Linked DNA regions of Saccharomyces cerevisiae S288C. Each later gene encodes a partner of the first gene's protein in a complex. Each region holds a gene or a part of one and is shown on either strand. Other genes may lie near its edges. A codon is read from its position in the direction of its gene.

Region 1 (3,280 bases):
TTTTCAAAGGACTGGGCCCAGGATTTTCTTTCCTTCAAAGAAGAAGTCTGAATTAATCGTAAAGCTGACTTCCCTGAAATTGTTGTGAACAACGTAATTATGAGAGCCTCAAGCAATAGGTTAGAGCATATTTTCTGATCATTAAACATGGTTTCATTATATAAGATCTTCTCCAAATTTTCCACCGATGGAACATAATTTTTATCTTTCAGTAACTCTTGTAAGGGAATAAAGTCCTTAAAATGAACCGAATCACCTGAAGAATCTTCACTGGCTAAATTTTGCCTTTCAGCATAATTAGTAGCTGCTTTCTTTTTCGTCATCACTTTCTTACGTAAGTATGTGGAGTTAAGAGAGAAAAAGTGTTTGAAAAAAGCTCCTCAACGATCTACTGGGCTGCCAAAATAAAATTCAGCGTCAATGGAAAAGCTAACTAATGTAGATATTGCGTGCACTACTTGTCAAAAATTCGTGCTCCTTATTAATATATGTATATGTATATACAAATGTGTCAATACATCAATAGTGCAATTTGTTAAAGTATTTGTATTCATAAATTGGCGCTGCCCGGGTAAGGTAGAAATTGCATCAGATAAAAGTGAGGGCCCATTGTTTGCCATTCGAACACATCCATCCTACGTGGTATCAATGGTTGTTGATCCGCTCTCTTTCTGCTAGGAAGTACTTTACAATCCCCTGATAGGCACTCATATCGCCACAGCGGATGATATTACCAATGTCTACGTCAAGTGGAGAATCACAAACGGGTTCCCTTAGGAGTCTCCAAACAGCATGAACACAGTGTAACAAATCCCATACAGGAGTCCACTCCTCTGGTTTAAGGATGTTCAGACATATTTCTCCTGTGGCTGATTTAACATTGCAGTGCAAAATATTGTTCTGCATAAAACTTATCTTTGGTGGATTCATGGGGTAGGAACTAGGGACTTCTATTAGTATTCGAAACTGATGATTTTCATAAGGTGTGTCTGACGGCCCAGAAATTATAGCTTCCCACTTGCTCAAGTCGGTTTCGTCAATCGGGTTAAGTGACTCGATTATCCCCCGGTAGGGGTTCGCTATGGGGTCATCACTGGCCAATGTTTTCAGTATGACTTTGTACTCCTTCACGATCCTCGACATACATGTATCAGACGTATAGCTCCTACGATTCTCAAGAATCCAGAAGTTTGGCATATTATGTATAAAGGCGATGATTATGTATATTTTATGTTGTCTCCAGTAAGTGGCAGCATAACCCGGCCAGTCTGCGCTGCATGCTGTGAAGCAGTAATATGCGATATATACCACATATATTCCGCTTCCGTTCAGGATTTCGAAAAGAGAAACTTCAGTGAATGACTATGACTACATAGTTGGAGTCTTAGACCATTGCAAATGAGTTATTCAAGTATGAGAGATCAACACTGATGAGAATAAACTCGTCTTCATGATGATACGGGTAACGCGAATGTATCGCATCAATAAATTTCAGGGAAAGGGAGTTTGACGATCTCATGGATGCAACGGTTGAGGTATATAATATTAAGCAGAAAGAAGAGGAAAAAAAATAAATCGGTAAACCAACCATCAACGGTACGAAACTTACATTCAAAATCAATAATTTACTTTAGAAAAGAATGTCTAATTCTGCCAAACTTATCGATGTCATCACCAAGGTGGCGTTGCCCATTGGTATAATTGCTAGCGGGATTCAGTACTCCATGTATGATGTGAAGGGTGGTTCTCGTGGTGTTATTTTCGACAGAATCAATGGTGTAAAGCAACAGGTTGTGGGTGAAGGCACTCATTTCTTGGTGCCTTGGCTACAGAAGGCGATCATATACGATGTGAGGACGAAACCAAAGAGCATTGCTACCAATACTGGTACGAAGGATTTGCAAATGGTGTCATTGACCTTGAGAGTCTTACATAGACCAGAGGTCTTACAGCTACCCGCAATATACCAAAATTTGGGTCTCGATTACGACGAAAGAGTGTTACCATCTATCGGCAATGAGGTTTTAAAGTCTATAGTAGCTCAATTTGATGCTGCTGAGTTAATTACTCAGAGAGAAATTATTTCTCAAAAAATCAGAAAAGAGCTTTCTACGAGGGCCAACGAATTCGGTATTAAGTTGGAAGATGTCTCTATCACTCATATGACGTTTGGTCCCGAATTCACGAAAGCAGTTGAGCAGAAGCAGATTGCACAGCAAGATGCCGAAAGAGCCAAATTCCTTGTCGAAAAGGCAGAGCAAGAGAGACAAGCTTCTGTTATCAGAGCTGAAGGTGAAGCAGAAAGTGCTGAATTCATTTCAAAAGCCTTAGCTAAAGTTGGTGATGGTCTGTTATTGATTAGAAGATTAGAAGCTTCTAAGGACATCGCTCAAACATTAGCAAACTCATCTAACGTTGTCTATTTACCAAGTCAACATTCTGGTGGTGGTAACAGCGAGTCTTCGGGATCACCAAATTCCTTGCTTTTGAACATTGGCCGTTAAGTCTGGAAAAGCTATGAACACAATAAACTAGGGGAGAAAATTTTTTTTTAATCATATTAGAAACCTGTATATATGGGGGATAACAACGCCAATAACATATTCCATCTTTCCATTTAGTTACCAACACGAATACGTATGCTATCAATATCGTAACTTAGTTTTTTATCATTTATATATATACATGGATGAGCCTACGAAAAAACTAAAGCACATTCATGTATCACCATAATATTATTTTAGAAAGAACTTTTTTTGTTAAATTTATTTAATGCAAAGGTTATATAAAGAACGATCAACGAAAATTGTACGCGAATTGCCTTTTTTTCAGTCCAGTAGGCTTAAACCTGGGAAATTGTAGGTATGCCCATTTGTCTTCTTGCCCTCCTTCTGCTGAATCCGGTATTAGAGCCAAATCCACCATTTTGCATCATACCCATCGTGGCCACAGTCACTTTGATGAGGAATAGAAAACAGGAAAAGTAAAAAAACGCAACAGCAGCCTGAGATTGATGACATCTGGAGCTTGAGCCTTGTATGATCTTATTCTGTTCCAGATATGTTTTGTTTTTACACGAATGGCATCTTATACCTACAGCCAAAGCGGTGGCTGCTACAAACGTAAATATGAAATTTAAAAAATCCAAAACAAGCAAAATTGCTGGGTATGTTAATGATGTCCAGAAATTAGCCAAAAACCCATATAATGAATCCGTAACCAGACCATAAACGGCGGCAAACATACAAAAGTTCACTCGAGAACTATGCTTTGTCTGTGT
Region 2 (3,316 bases), on another chromosome or scaffold:
CCTCAAGTGATTAATAATCCATCAATGGTCAATAATCCTCATCTTTATGTCGCTTCTATACCATCATGCCGGTTTAGCAAACCTAAAATGGGGGGTTATATACCGCCTCCATTGCTATGTGTTCAAGGATCCAAATTAACGGACCGACATATTTTCTTTTATGGCGGATTTGAAATCAGGACAGAAACCCGTGGTGATGAAAATGGGAAGTATCATCTCAAGAAAAGATTATATGTGAATAACACTGGTTACATACTCGATATTATGTCGTTCAAGTTCACTAAAATAGATATCATAGTACAACCTTCCAAATATAATGCATATCCGACAATGTCATCGAGGTTTGGTCACTTACAAATTTCTATTGATAATCCAAATAGGAGAGCTAGCGTTCATTCTTCAAGCATGAACGAAATTCATAAAATGGGGAGTGCTTCCATGAAACAAGGTAGCAGCATCACTTCCGGGCGGCTTGAAAAAGCAGCAGTACTTTCATCATTACCTCATAATACTGTGCACACGGTTATAATATTTGGTGGTTACAGACAAACCGGTGATGATCGTTACGAAGCAATGAATGATTTGTGGAAGATAGAGATACCCGTGATACGTCGCGGTAAAAAAGGTTATTGTAAGTTTTCAGAGACAGCTAACGCGATACTACTGACGCCAAGCGAAAAGGACAAATCGGATTGGCCCGAAGAAAGAGCCTTTTCTGCCTTTTCTGTTCATGGGACTTCGTTAATGGATAGGAGTTCTCTTGACATGAGACTATTGAACAACTTAAAAAACCATTTTGTTTTAAAACCGTCATATATATCACAGGATCGCGTTGTTAGTCCTAAACCGGTTTTCCCCATGATGGTTCATGGCACGCATCAAGATCTTTTCAATAGTGGCTCTGCGGCACAAGAATCGCCCAAAGCTGGTGCCTCGGCCAGCAGCGCAAGTGCTGCGAGCTTTGATCCCGATATGGACGATAATTTGGAAAATTATATAGTCAATCCAGGGAGAAAATCGTCATCTATTCCAATGACTGCGATAGGGAGACAGAGATTAATTTTAAGCCAAGAGAAGCCAGTAGGTAAAACTGTTGTATTGCATGGTGGGTCTAACGGTCTCAACGTTCTTGATGATATGTGGTTGATGGACTTAGAGTGTGAGACATGGACTCCAATAGAGACATTTGCAAAGGCAGATTCGAGCGAAGACGGTGATGAAAAATTGGATAGTGTGAACGTAGGTCTCGTTGGCCACAGAATGGAAAGTATTGGACGAATATGTGTATGTATAGGTGGTATGGTACAAGAGGATGTTGACCAATTTTACTCGGAGAATGATGATGAGCCTCCTCGAAAACGCAAGGTCGATACATTACCGTTGGGTGGTAATTTTTTGAACACAATTGATTTAAGCACGCAGTGTTGGGAAGAACATAAAATTACTCTGTCCAAGAAGGAAGACGATGAGGACAGACAAGATAGCGAAAATGAAGATACAAATTCAAATATAGTAGTTGGTGTCGGTGGCACTTCTTTGCAATGTGACAAAAGTATTATTTTGATTGGCGGATTGATATCTAGACGGAGCAATGTAAAAGAAATATATTTACATGGTACCATAACGAAAAGTATTTTTCCTAGCGTAAATCCTAGTGCATAAAAAGGCAGTTTTCAATGCTTTCACTTTGTAAACTTTGTTTAGTAGTAGAATATAATATATTCAGTTTTGTTTTATAGTCACATAACACTTTGTCTTTCAAAGAATAATCTCCTTCGCAATACCAGCGAAATATTTTGGCAAAAAATTAACAATTAGGTTCATAGTCCCCTAATTCAATTAATCGAAAAAAAAAAAATAAAATATAAGGGAAGATTGTGCTGATGAAATAGACAATGAAACAATAATGAAGAATAAAGAAGAAGAAGATATAAAACATGCCACCACCATCAAGAAGTAGAATAAACAAAACAAGAACATTAGGAATAGTGGGTACAGCTATAGCAGTGTTGGTCACGTCCTACTATATATATCAAAAGGTGACAAGTGCAAAGGAAGATAATGGGGCACGACCTCCAGAGGGTGATTCAGTAAAAGAGAACAAAAAGGCAAGGAAGAGCAAATGTATTATAATGAGCAAGTCGATACAAGGACTGCCCATAAAGTGGGAGGAGTACGCCGCTGATGAAGTGGTTTTGCTGGTACCTACGAGCCACACTGATGGATCAATGAAACAAGCCATTGGGGATGCCTTTCGCAAGACGAAAAACGAACACAAAATCATATATTGCGATAGCATGGATGGATTATGGTCATGTGTAAGACGGCTAGGTAAATTTCAGTGCATATTGAACTCCAGGGACTTCACAAGTAGTGGTGGTAGCGATGCAGCAGTCGTTCCTGAAGATATAGGCAGGTTTGTCAAATTTGTTGTTGATAGCGATGTAGAGGATGTGCTGATTGACACTTTATGCAATTAATGTAGAAAAGAGTTTCTTGTAACAGTATGTAAAGAATAAATAATTATAAGTATAAATAAAAAGAGAAGGTGAAATAATAATAAGTAAGCAGCTCGGTTATAAGAGAACAAAAACACACGAAAAAAAAAAAGTCGTCAATATAAAAAGGAAAGAAATCATCATTACAACTTGACCGAATCAATTAGATGTCTAACAATGCCAGGGTTTGACAATGTAGAAACGTCGCCTAGTTGGTCACTTTCTCCTGCTAGGATTTTTCTTAAAATACGTCTCATAATTTTGCCGGATCTTGTCTTGGGCAAGTCATCCACTAAAATGATCAATTTTGGTGCGGCAAATGGCCCGATGTCTTTTCTAACAGTAAAGACCAAATGCTTCTTGATATCTTGTAATTCATCATCTGTTGCGGTGGACCAACTAGATTTGTTTTTCAACACCACAAATGCAGCAACTGCTTGACCAGTCAAGTCATCGTTGAATCCGACAACAGCACACTCGGCCACAATTGGATCTTCGATAATAGCAGCCTCAATTTCAGCGGTAGACAGACGGTGACCAGAGACGTTCACCACATCGTCTACACGACCCAAAATCCAGATATAACCATCCTTATCCTTTGCAGCACCATCACCAGTGAAATAGTAGCCAGGGTAAGGGTTCAAATAAGTGTCTAGATACCTATCATGATTTTTCCAAATAGTTCTTGCAAATGATGGCCATGCAGCTTTGACGGCAAGGACACCCTCTGCGTGGCTGGTGTTAAGTTCTTCACCAGTGTTAGGGTCAAGAACAACTGCATCAATACCGAAGAAGGGGAATGAGGCAGAACCCGGTTT

Evidence for each region.
Region 2: the proteins of PEX4 (region 1) and PEX22 are in contact, whole or in part, in a crystal structure (PDB 2Y9M), measured with the Saccharomyces cerevisiae proteins. Residues at the interface, in NP_011649.1 of Saccharomyces cerevisiae: Leu103 (codon at 891), Ser109 (codon at 873), Asp151 (codon at 747), Asp153 (codon at 741), Ile154 (codon at 738), Asn156 (codon at 732), Ile157 (codon at 729), Cys160 (codon at 720), Asp162 (codon at 714), Met163 (codon at 711), Ser164 (codon at 708), Ala165 (codon at 705), Gly168 (codon at 696), Ile169 (codon at 693), Lys171 (codon at 687), Tyr172 (codon at 684), Ala175 (codon at 675), Glu176 (codon at 672), Arg179 (codon at 663); in NP_009346.1 of Saccharomyces cerevisiae: Glu84 (codon at 2,187), Val85 (codon at 2,190), Val86 (codon at 2,193), Thr109 (codon at 2,262), Lys110 (codon at 2,265), Asn111 (codon at 2,268), His113 (codon at 2,274), Lys114 (codon at 2,277), Ile116 (codon at 2,283), Tyr117 (codon at 2,286), Cys118 (codon at 2,289), Asp119 (codon at 2,292), Ser120 (codon at 2,295), Asp122 (codon at 2,301), Gly123 (codon at 2,304), Leu124 (codon at 2,307), Ser126 (codon at 2,313), Cys127 (codon at 2,316), Arg129 (codon at 2,322), Arg130 (codon at 2,325), Leu131 (codon at 2,328), Lys133 (codon at 2,334).

The regions. Positions count from the first base shown.
Region 1 is NC_001139.9:754,813-758,092, reverse strand, and holds PEX4 (E2 ubiquitin-protein ligase peroxin 4), read right to left. Parts: upstream 1,198-3,280; coding exon 646-1,197; downstream 1-645. Other genes in the region: CCR4-NOT core subunit CAF130, read right to left, coding at 1-323; prohibitin subunit PHB1, read left to right, coding at 1,641-2,504; FHN1 (Fhn1p), read right to left, coding at 2,843-3,280. UniProt on the Saccharomyces cerevisiae protein: Catalyzes the covalent attachment of ubiquitin to other proteins. Essential for peroxisome biogenesis. Required for UBC4-independent ubiquitination of PEX5.
Region 2 is NC_001133.9:40,240-43,555, forward strand, and holds PEX22 (ubiquitin-protein transferase activating protein PEX22), read left to right. Parts: upstream 1-1,937; coding exon 1,938-2,480; downstream 2,481-3,316. Other genes in the region: GPB2 (Gpb2p), read left to right, coding at 1-1,662; ACS1 (acetate--CoA ligase 1), read right to left, coding at 2,642-3,316. UniProt on the Saccharomyces cerevisiae protein: Involved in peroxisome biogenesis.